Drosophila melanogaster: one gene and its partner. The protein of the gene in region 1 interacts with the protein of each later gene in a pairwise test. Each region holds a gene or a part of one and is shown on either strand. Other genes may lie near its edges.

Region 1 (7,890 bases):
CCTCGCCGTCACGCCCTGCACCGTATGATAGGCCTTCAAGGGATCCATGACCAGCCCGTTGACCTCCTCCTCGCGTTTGTACATTTTGATCTCCCCCTCGTCGGCAAAGATTTGCCAGCCGTTGCCGTCTTGGCCAACGCCCTCGCGTGCGTAATGCAGTTGCTCCTTGCACACGCGATCGATCTGCGGGATAAATCCAATTATTGGCTGGTCGTTAGGGGGCCAGATTGGCAATTTCCGGTCTTACCTCCGGCCACAGGGCATGGCTGGTGGCCTCCGCACCCGTGCCGAACTCCTCGCGCGCCTCCTCGCCCTCGGCCACCGCCTCGTGTGGAACGTTGACCAGTGTCTGGGAGATCTGGGACTGCAGCTTAAGCTTGAAGCGCAGCTGCATGTCCTCCTCGATTTTGTCCAGGCCCGTTTCGACCGCATCGAAGAACTCATCCTCGGGCAATGTGGAATGTGGACCCTCCTGCGAAATTGAAAGGGAAATGTCATATTATACATATATCTCCATTAGCATCGAGCAAACTAAGTCAAGTTTAGCCCAAAAGCATCTTTGAAGGTTCGGCCTAATTAATTTTAATGACGAAACCGCATTCAATCCAATTGGAAAGAAATGGAACGTGCTTTGTATAAATTAATCGCCGACACTTGTGCGGCCAAATGGCCCAAGAAAATCAAATTTATGCTGTTGTTTTTTCGCCCATTCCATACCCTGACCAGTCGCCAGGCGGAGATTCTCGTAGTCGGCTGGCATGCGTAATTGGGCGAGCATAATGGACACAAAGGCGCATCATTGTGCCATGAATACGAAAGCAGAAGACCGCCAGACGGGGCTTGGTACTTGGTACTGAATCCCATTAAAGCAGTGGCATCTCGTGGGGAAAAACCACCAATAAGCTACACAATAATACTGCCGAAATTTAATTAAGTTGATAAATTTGCCATTTATAAAATTCTTTTCCTCCTAACAATGTGTTTCGAATTTCGCAACAGAGTTTACCAAATTGCTACTGTAATATACAAACAAAATCATAATATTTTGAGAGTATTTAGAATATTATGCTGAAATTAGGATTGATATATAGGAAAAGTGTCCCTTGAAGTTCGGCCCTTTAGAGGTATACATCCGCTCCATTCTGTGCTAGCCAGTGTTCACTGTACACATTCTGACGTCTGCGACTGGCGCGTGTATCCCCAGAACGGCAACCGGCGCAAAATAAATGCCTCGAATGGAATTTGTGCGGAATTGAATTGATATTTATTAATTAAAGCAGAGATGTGCGCAGCCAAAGGCGGTGAAATAAATACACCCTGCGGCGTGAATTCGAGTGCATAATCATCTTGACCAAGCGGCACTCGCAGCTAACCAACAATGAAGACATGGGCTATATGCGTACTTATTCCTGTGGCGTCGCTATGTCTCCTCTTACCAGGCTCCTCCACCAATTGTTGCAGTTGAACCCAACAAAAGCGAAGAGGTTTTTGGGCGGCAAAAATTAGGCTCCTTCTCAGCAGGAAAAAATCAGGAATCGCACCGCAAGAGAGCCAAAGAGAGAGAGAGAAAGGGTTGCGTGGCAGGCGAAAGCAGGAAAAGTGAGCGCACTTGTGTCCTGGCGAATCCTTCCGTCGAGCACAAGGACACAAAACAAACTGTTGCTGGTGGCCCAAACGCACTGGCCAACTTGGCCAGGATGAGCGGAGCAGAGAGAAGGCCAAAAAAAGAGAGCAGGAGAAAGCGGGCGACTGAGAGTAAAAAGCGAAAAGCGCACAGAGCAAAAAGCTCCAATGGATAGGATTTCTTGCATTTAAATAATAAATCAATTCTTGGGGTTCTTTGGCCACCGCACTTCAAACATTCAACATTCAAAAGCGAGTGGGGTGGCCCACTAATGAGGCCAATTTGGTTAGAAAAAACCAACATCAACATTTTATGAAACTTATTTTAGGCAACATTTCATACACTAAGGAAAAATACCATTATTTTATCAAAGCAATGCTTCCGAACTAATACTTTTATCATAATAAAAAAATATTTGACATTCCACATTCATAGCTGATTAGAAATTTTTCAAAAACACAACGATGTTTGTTAATATTTTTTATCAGCTATATATGCACATAGAAAAAAAATTCAAAATTACTAAAAGTGTTATCAAATTTTATTTGGAGATATATTGAAACGTTTATTGTTTATAAAAGTGATAATACGCCTTGAAATATTTCCATACGAAACACATATTATAAAAATATATTCCACCACTCCTTTATGTAAATTATTTATGATTTTAATTCAGTGTACCTTTATTTTTTTAACGCTGCCCTTCTGAAATCCGCCGGAGCGCCACAGAAATCGCGCCGAGGGCATAGCGTTGACGTTGTTTATAATTTTATAAATTTGTATATTTGTACAGTGATGCGTGCGGCGCTTTTATATTTGCAACATGAACTAGCGATTGCTACAATTGTGTACACTTGTTTATTTATTATAGCTCTTTCAATGCAACGCAAGAAATTTCACAATCTGCACACTCAATTAAATGCCACGACCAATATGAAAAAGAAACAGTCTCGTTTTGAATTGTTTGCCTAGCAAATTTGTTTATAATTGCTACGTGTTGGCCACTCGATCGCTAACCGCCGACTGACCAGCCTAGCTCATAAGCCATAAACCTGACAGCTGTAAGCCAGGCTAAAAGCCACAGCTCAAAAAGTGAGCCGCATATTGAATGCTCTAAGCTTGAACGTATAGTGAAAGATCACGTACATGTTTACTATATATTGTTCACTTAAATCGGGATTTTCTAACAAAATTTTCATATGAAGATCACTGAAGACGTAATAGTTAATATACCCGTTGCACAAAGTGCATTCTAGCCAACGGTTGGATCGTTATTCAACGTCAATATCTGCAATATTGGCTCGAAGTAGATCTTAAGCTACGCCCAACTGTCAAACAGGCCTAATGAAACCGTCTAGACGCCCAGTCTTTCAGCCTGAGTAGTCGCCAAGTAACCGAGCCAAGAATAACAACCAAGTTGAGCACTTACAATTCGTAGGAGAGCATCATTTTTCTAATGCTATTGTGGACATATGCCATTAAAATGGAATTGATTGGGCAAACAAATGTAAGCGGAAAAACGATATTGCATGACCAATTCCAGATTAACACGAACACGGGAACTTCGTGTCAGCCAAAATTCGGAACCAAATACTGGCATTCCATAATCGAATTGAAAACGCTTGAATAATAGTCCAGCGTGTTCTACTTTCCTTGCATATGATGAAATCTCTGACACAACGTCGAATCAGGCAGTTTATTTTAAGACGCCGACAAATCGCACGCAAATCGTTTATACGAATTTCGCGCCACTCATTCGGCGATTGTTTGCATTTTCAGTGGGAACGTGTTTGGCCCCGATTTGAGCAGCAATGACCGTGAATGCGATTACGCTTTTGCTTTTACGAGAGCTGTAAACTTGAACTCACCTCGAAATCTGGGCCAGGATACGATAGACGCTTCATTTTCTCAACTTCATCCTTGAGCTTTCTGCAAAGAAGAAACATAGAATTTTACCATAGTTTTAATATCGTTTAAATGAATAAACTTCAGAAATGAATGTACACATTAAATTTAAATACATTATTAATCCTTTTTTAAATAAATTAAACCATGAAATAGCATGATAATTTTTAAAGAAACGTATGGTTTTCAAGCAAATACAAAAAAGGTAATTGAAATTGCTTCTTCTTGTAGGAATCTATTCCGACTAGGTCAACCTACTTGCTTTGGTCCTCAGAACGTCGACGCTTATCTATTTCACGCTCCAGTTTCCGTTTCCATGACTCATCGCTCTCGGCGATGATTTCTAGGCAATGCTGCAGGGTGGTTAGCACGCCGGACGTTGTGGCCCGAAACGTGATGGATTCGCCCTGAGAAAATCGAGTGTTTTGCTTAGTACACTGTACATATACCAATGGCCCGATAAGTGCACTACTTTACCTTGAAATCGATGGACTTCAGACCGTCGCCCAGGTCCAGTGGTTGCGCATTGTTTTTGTTCACCTCCGAGCAGGCATCAAAGTATCGCTGCAGAGTCTCGATCTGTCCAAATAGTATATCCTTAAAGGTCTCCAGCTCGCCGACTTTTTCGCGCAGGTTGCGCTGCGTCTTCTTTAGGCTTCCTCCGCTGGTCAGCGAGATAGTGTTCGATTGCAGGCTCATGGTACTGCCATGGCGGCGCAAGGAAGTGGTGTCCGTGCTGCCGGAGTCCGCCTTGTACAGCTGCAGCACATCCACCCAGTGCATGCGGTCCTCGCTGGTCTCTGCCCGCAGGCACCAGTTATTTAAGTTGTTCACCACAACATCGAATCGGAGCTCGTCGGACTCATGGGCCTACAAAAGAAAAATAAACTTGAACTTAGTAAAAGGCACAAAATAGGTACAAATAAACGGTTTATCTTACTTATATTTTAAATGAAAATTTCATGCCAGTAATAAGCCAGTTATTAAAACGAAATACAATAAATTCGACGAAAAAAAAACCTAATTAACTTTGAATGGTTGATTATAGCGGAACGCAAATCAGTGGTAAACATGAAATCAACAAGGAAAACACCCGAATACAAGATTATTGTTGGCAAATGGAAATTACAGTGGAACCTGAATGAGTCAAAACACTAAGAGAAATTTGTGAAAATTAATTAAAATTTTAAATGAATCACTTGCAAATAAATCCAATTATTAGTAACTTAAACTACAAGTGAGCTGGTTTCACTGTAAAGTAATCCAAGTAATCCAATCATGATCGATTAAATCGGTGATAATTATTATTTGGATTGTTGGGAAAAATTCTTTGAACTAAATGAGGCTTCAATATCTTTGAATAAGATCAGTGTTCGCAAAGTCAAGGCGAATGAATGGAAGGGCCGCTTCTAGTGAGTCAGCATTGTGTATATGCTTTTGGCAGCTCCTACAGTATAAATAGATAAGTACACACTCATGGCGAAACACCCTCCTAGAACAACACGCCCTCCTGTCAACAGAAGGCCTTCTAGCAGCGCCTAGGTCTGAGGGGTACCCCACTTACATTGATGACTTCAATTTTGGTCTATTTTGGTCGCCCAACGTTAATTGATTGCGCTGCATTGATTGCGTCGCTCGGAATTGGATTGGGAATGGGTGTATTGGCTTGGGAATGGAAACGGAGACCTCAGGTCGCGGTCATCGTTGGTTAATGTGTCGCAAACACATGCGCACACACTCACGCCCATTACTTTTTTATTAGTCCAATTGAAAGCACTTGGGGAAGGAGCTCCACCCTCTCTCTTTTCGGCCGTCCTACCTTAATGGTGGCCTTGGTCAGGCTGATGGCTCCGCGGCACCCGAAATCCGACTCCGATTCGGATTTATAGTAGGAGAGTGTACCATCCTTCAGGACTATGTAGCGTGGCTGCCATCCATAGATGTAGTTCGTCCACTTGCTGAGATAGCCCCTCAGTTCGATACTGTTGTCCAGATACTCCTCCTCCTCGGAGGCATCGCTCTGGGACTGTGATCCCGCCGCTGCCTCATTGCTCGAGGGCGGCGATGCTCCCAGCGACTCCCCAGCGTTCGTGTCCATCCTCTTCCAGCTCCGGAGTTCAACTGCCAAGTTATCTATACAATGAAACGGTTCGGGGGTATCTTAATCAGCAGGTTGCCGCAGAAGATTAAAAATATATTGCGCCACGTCCGCGCAATGTAAACAACTACAATGCCGGCTGGCAATTTGATGGGAGCTCCTATCGTGATAATCCAATTCAATCAGCGATCGCATCGCCTGACTCACAGCACCGCCTTTTCGCGGTTCTGAAGCGCCAGCTGGCCCCCACCCAGGAGCACTCACCTTTCGTTTATTGATTTCCTCGACGATCCGCAAACATCTGTGCAACACGTAATGCTCTGGCTTGTTTGTGGGAGGCTTGGTAAATAAGCGAAGAGAACTCACGACGCTGATGTTTTTTTCGCTGCAAAACCAAAACAAAGCTGACCTAGAGATGGTCTGACGACCGACGGTTCCTTCGATAAGTCGTTACGCTATCGATGTCTTACTCTCGATAGTTGTCAGAAGTGCCTTTTTCTTCTTCTTATAAATACACAAAATTTGAATTTAAATCTTCCCTTTAAAATGAGCAATTAGTTAAGTAATTACATAACTACAAACCGAGCACTAAGTACCGTTAAGTATTATTTTGCTTCATATATTACTTTCACAAAAACATGGAGAGTACCCAAATCTAGCTGCCAGTGTAACCACTTTAATTTGGTTTCAAACTTTGATTTGTAACTGCTGATAGTGCTGTGCAATGCAGGCAGTTGTCGTTTTTGGCGCCAGTTTAAATCTAAAAACGCAATGTTGTACATATCTTGGCCATTATTGCCGTAAGTTGTTATTTGAATGAAAACAATTATAAAGCACCTTTCAAGGGAAATTTATTTTCTATTCATTCGACACGTTTTCATTTGTTGAAAGGAAGGAATTATGCCACAATTTCAATTATTTACAGACCACTAGACAAACATGGATACAAATCTAAGCAATTAACAACGCCTACGACTAACAATAAATACAATGCGTAAATAAAATAAATAATTATAAATTAATTAGTACACGTTAATTACAAGCAAGTGACTTTGAGGACGCGCTCAACTCAATCGTAATCCTAACATCTAGACGAGGTCAACAATAGGGGTTCGCATGGGAGTTGGTCATTGTTCTACATATACACATTGTTGTCCTGATCCCGAGTGGTGGGCAGTTGAATGACCTGCTCCTCATGATATTCGCCCACCGGTCTGTCTGTGGGTTTTGTCTTTTTCGTCTTGCTCGCAGGAGCTGGTTTGCTATACTTGCTGGACAAGGCCTTAAATATACTCTTCGGACAGTCCTTGAAGTAGGGAAAACATTCTCCTGGTGCTTGCTTTCCCTCGCCCACCTCCTGGGCTTGTACATAGTCGGGTACCAGGTCGGAAAACGGAGATTTGGTTACCCTATAAGAGAGATCTGTGTAACAAAGAATCACGATTGAAAGGAGGAAATTACTCACGTTAAAAATAGCTTTGTCATTTCTCCAAAGACACCGAACTTCTCCAAACTTCGTGAGTGCATCTCACAAATGGTTCTCAGCAAACAGGCCTTGCCATCCATGCCAAAGGTGGATAGAAAGTCCTCCACTACGCCATAGAGCAAAACCCGCTCTCCGCCATGGAAAATATGCTGCAGTCCGGCTGGCAGCTCCGGATACTTTGGACCCTCTTCGTGTATCCTAAAGGGATGATCCTCGTTGCTTCTGCTCCGCTGCTCGCTGAGATCCCTCTTCCTGCGCTGGACATGCAGATACCTCGCCACATATTCACCAACCATGTGGCCTGCCTCGTGACCAAAGGAGCGGGCGAACAGCGGCGGCAGATCCCCCAGAGGATTTTGGTTGTCTGTCAGGCCCAGTTTGTCGAAGTCAACTGTGGATTGAGGCAACAAAAATCAGAGTTAATTGATTAATCATTGACATTGAGAGCTGTCTACGCACTGGTGACGGGAAAACTGATGGTCAGGTTGGAGAAGAATCCCTCGGGCGGATGCCGAACCAGGGGCATGGCAATGGTTGGCACGAATGTCAGCGAAGTGCCCGGCGGCAGGGCCAATCTGCCATCATCCGTAATCCAGATGAGTCGCTTCTTGCGTATGTGCGGCGTATCCGGGGAATCGGCATCGTAATCCGGCCTGGCTTCGGCTTCCGCATCCGCCAGCTGCGCTGCCATATCCAAAGCCTGGCCAGCATCCGCCTGTCGATTGAGTGCCAATGCATTTGGACACAAGCTGACAAGTGGCAGCAGCAGTAGGAGGA
Region 2 (4,715 bases), on another chromosome or scaffold:
GTCTGGACGTTTGGCGATTGTCACGCCCTTTGCTCATTACTCACTTAGGCCAAGACAATATCATTCGATTGGGCCAGTAATTACCAGTGTCATTGAATGGCCCACACATCTAACACCCAAAGTGATTAGGCACTTTATAGCCGAAAAGCGTTGAATCACTTTGCAGCTCACAGCTGCGGTTCTCGTTTGGTATTGCCTTGCGTGTCTTTGCGTTTTCCTTAGAGTTTCCTTTTGGCCAAGGCCAAGGTGTTTTGACCTTTAACCGGTAAGTAATAGTGCCCAGATGTGCTGCACAAAATGTTTAAATTTAACATATATCATCTACCAATATTTATTTTGTGTGCTGTCATCGATGCTCATTCCAATAATTGAATATTTGAATGATCAGCCATTATATGGCGTCCACTCACCAGGTTTTTATTATATTTTATTTTATTTTTTACAGTTTCCAAGTTCATTTTTTCAATGTTGGCTCGTGTGAATTTTATTTATAACTTTTCTATTTACAGTTTCGTGTAGCATACATCCCGGCGACCGCCCCTTTGCCCCGCATTCACCCACTTGCAAAACAACAGCAGCCACTTTTATGTAGGCTCTGTACCTGTATCTGTGTGTGCGCCGTGTGTGTGAGTGGGGATGTCTCTGTGTGTGGATGAATGAAACTAGAGCGCACCTTGATTCTATTTTTAAATGCCACACAAAACAACAATTGTCGCTTAGTTGCGCGTTAAGTGTTTTTCATCCAGCTTCCCGCGACCAAGTTCATTTTATTCTTAGGATGCAGATGCAGCTTTTCTCGGCTAGAAGCACTTAAAATAGTTGGCCAGGGATTATATAAATAGATGACAGCGAATTTAGTTTGGCAAGGACCTTGTCGTGTAAAATCGCTTAAAATATATATATTAAATCTCCATATATTTGATTAATTACATAATGTGATTTACACTACTTGAAGTTACTTTTCAAATCGGTGAAATTAGATTACAATATGACCAAATCAATCACGAATCAATGTCGCACGAGTTGGAAAACTATGCCAAGTTGACTTTTTAATCGGCTTGTGCATCTAAATGGAATTGGCATTTATTTTATGGTTTATTGCCAAGCGGCACGATAGTTGCTTTTGTTGCTTATCAATTGTTGCGCACAACTTTTGTTTGTTTGTTTCCTTTTAACAGCTTGTCACGGATTAAATGACACGGAAATTGGGTTGAATAATGGGAATTTTTAATGACGCAATTTAAACGCCATGTAAAAAGAGTTTTACCACTTCTGGGAATAATTCATTTTGTAATATTGTTAAAGAAAATAAAACAAACAAATCGTATACTCAAGGAATATGTTAGTATATTCGATTCTCACCCATATATTACCGCAATGCTAAAAAATAACATATGTAAAGCTTCACTATTTTGGAAAATTATAAACAAGTTGTCGACACTTCTGCCAAAAGTTAAAAATATGTATGAACAATTTAATATATTTTCACAGTGCCGTAAACAGTAAACAATTGCAGCCAGGTGCGTCTTCAAACACAGATTCTTATTTGTTTAAATAAATATGAAAATTAACATTTCAATAGTAAATCGAAGCCTCACATCCAATTTTAAATATAATCTCACAAAAATACTCTTTGATGCGTTTTTTAAACATTTTCATTATTTTCCTCAATTATTGAATGAAAAACCTGGCACAGCTCAAACTTCAAATAGAGCCCATAAATATTTTCCATAATTTTGCGAAAAATAAACAAAATATTCCAGACTGTTTTTTCGCATTTTTCAAGGTGAGTGTGTGAATTTTCACTAGCCTGCGTGTGTGTGTGTGTGGGTGCCTCTGCGAAAATGCGATGGTGTGCGTGCGTGCGACTTTGGCGCCTAGTCAAATAAATCGCATGCGATTAAAATTTTATACAAATAGCTTTAGAAGCGTGCGTTTTGCTTTGTTGTGTTTCATTTGCCGTGCCATTTCCACCTTTTCACTGTTTGTTTTCCATTTTTTTTTTTTCATTTCTAGTCTTAAGCTGCGTTGTTTTTGGTTTTTTTATGGGGGCATGGCGTCAGTTAAATGAGTTGTTGTTTATAGTTCTTGAGCATGTGTGCGAAAAATTTGCATTTGTAGCGTAACGCTTTTGTTTACTTTGTAGGTTAGTTTGTTGGCCCATTGACTTATATACACACACTCGGCTAAAATATAACATATATATTTACCTTCGATGCCTTTTGATGGTGACGGCAGCAGCGGCGGCGGCGGCGGCAGCAGCGGCGTTGACGAAGAAAGCGGCGAAAGCAGACGGAGAAATTGGCCAAAACGGAGATGAGGGAGGTAGGAGGAGTTGGTGATGGCTGATGGTTGAGATGGGTGGTAGTGGGCGGTTGGGTGGTGGTGGGTGGTATTAACCTCAAAGCATGTCAGCAAACAGCTCCTCGAAAGCACTTGACTTGACTCCTTTCGATATTTATATTTTCCTGCCCTCCTTTGCGTGCCTCGTTTTAATTTGTTAATGATTTGGGCTTATTCATTTATTTGCATTATTTGGCGCTCACTCTTCCTAACTCTGCTTATTTGGTGTTATGTTACATTTTAGCAAAACTTGCGGTCCTGTCTCAACGATTGTTGTTGCTGTGCGGAAAATGCCAAGCAGCAAATGTAGCACGAGCAGCAGCAGCGGAAAAAGAAACAAGAGGAAAAACTGTATCTTTTAGATCCGGGCATATCCTTTATCTCGAACAGCGACTGCGACGCTGGCTGAGGCAGCAGCTGTAGCTGTAGCTGGAAAATTTCCTCCAACTTGTTTGTCTAACTCTCGCGTTGCTTTTCAAAACGATGTTTTAGCATTTAAGTTAAATTTAAAGCTGCAAGCTGCAATGATACAGCAGCAACAATCGTTTCCATATATAAAATCCAGCAAAAGAAGAACTCGATAGCAGCAAAAACCGCGCAGCGTTTTCCCCGTTTACCGTTTCGCCGTCAGACACACACTTTTCCCACAAATAAAGCCAGAAACCGTTCGACGCGCGCACGCGAGTGTCCTATACACAACTGATTACAGGACTGCGAAAATGGAAAATGTTTGCCAGCAGCGACGCTTCGGCATTCGGTTTTCCCTCGCTCGGAAAATCTCCGGCTATCGCAGCCAGGCTTCTGTTGCCGAAATATCCGGAGCCACTCCGCCGGAGACGGAGAGCGAGTTCGCCGGAGAGTGGGTGCGCACTCACTTGGGTTGCGGGCGGCACATAGGGTATAGCATAGCCCTCGGCGGTTACAGTGGACTAAGTAGCCACATAACGCATATAATTAGTTTGAATTGTAATAATATTGGAAGAGCTGTTTTAAATGGCAAATATATTTACTTGACTGACAACGTGGCGTATGAGTAATTTTTAAAATATGTTACTAATGAAAGACAGCCTGTTTGTGACATTTAAATTCATGACAACTATTATTATATTGTATATTATAATAAAATAATTATTATTTTATTATAAATGATTTTGGATAAGAGAAGGAAATATTTATTTACAAAATCTAGAAATTGTTGAATTTATATCTCGCACATAAGAAGTACTGCTGAAAGCATCTTTAAGATAGTTATGAATCTTCCAACACCCTTGAAAGTAGCCCACTGTGCAAGCAACACTCATATTCCTCATTCATCTTGCTCAGCCCGCACAATTGGCTGCCAAAAGTATTGCCACACCAGTGTCGGCGACTTCGTCCTTTCACTTGAACGCCAAAAGTGAGGCAGTCTGGCAGCCTCTACTTTTCTGGTCCTGGTCCCCAGTGAGGGTCTTCTTCTGTTACGCTGCTGTTATCCTGCAGACCGCGAGGGTCCTGAGAAATGACACCCATGAGTTCAGGATGAATACGACGCCACGACAGCCAACCAATCCTCCATTTCGCACATATGTACATATGTACATACATCGCACATACCTATAGTGTACATATGTATGTACATATGCTCGTCTGTTGGACATTTGCACTGTTTTTTTTATACCAACGAACGGACGCGTAGGGTTTACAGCCAAATGACAAGTGCTTAGTGTTTTGCATATGCGTGTGTGCGTACACTGAGAAAAATTTAGTTTTATTTTTTTGATCTTTTATTCGTATATAATTCTCATAAATAACTCGAAATTATTTTATTTCACATATCTTACAAACTAAATGTATATTATTAAAAAATAAACACATTTCTATTAAGTTGATGAAAAATTTTTCAGTGCTGGATTTAGCGGCTTGATACCCCCATTCTCATTATTCAAGCTGGAAAATGGGCAGCTCGGGGATGGGGACAAGTGTTTGAAGCACTTGGCGCACGCTTGAGCGGCTTTCAAATTTAGCGTATTAACTCATTAAATGTTCAAAAGCTCATTGCCTGCGAAATGTGCACACATTTCTGTGAATGCGAGCGAGGGTGTGAAATATGCACAAGTATGACACTTTGGCACCGAGGGGAAGACAGTTTTAATACCGCTTAATGGGCAATCGGGCGGAAGAAGCTTGAAATAAATAGAATTCCCTATACTCCTAACAATATCAAAATTTTTAATTAAATTTCTAATGACCATGGAAGAACGCTCGGGGACCTAACAATATAGGGTACAGTACATAAAACATGCTGTGAAAAAAGGGGTAAAAACAGTTGTTGCCTTGAGAGCTGGCATAATTAGTCCTTCTTTCGTATGCACCTCTTTATGCAATTTAAATTA

What was found. The genes of interacting proteins can lie anywhere in the genome.
Region 2: the proteins of cert (region 1) and CG5890 interact in a two-hybrid assay, tested with the Drosophila melanogaster proteins (one large-scale study listed by BioGRID).

What each region holds. Positions count from the first base shown.
Region 1 is NT_037436.4:8,283,822-8,291,711, forward strand, and holds the start of cert (ceramide transfer protein), read right to left. Parts: upstream 6,050-7,890; 5' UTR 5,892-6,049; intron 5,663-5,891; 5' UTR 5,628-5,662; coding exon 5,349-5,627; intron 4,400-5,348; coding exon 4,007-4,399; intron 3,937-4,006; coding exon 3,788-3,936; intron 3,554-3,787; coding exon 3,493-3,553; intron 2,649-3,492; exon of another isoform or gene 2,372-2,648; coding exon of another isoform or gene 2,306-2,371; intron 473-2,305; coding exon 248-472; intron 184-247; coding exon 1-183. Other genes in the region: CG7201 (uncharacterized protein), read right to left, coding at 6,763-7,036, 7,093-7,504, 7,573-7,890.
Region 2 is NT_033777.3:25,854,469-25,859,183, reverse strand, and holds the start of CG5890 (uncharacterized protein), read right to left. Parts: upstream 3,031-4,715; 5' UTR 2,211-3,030; intron 1-2,210.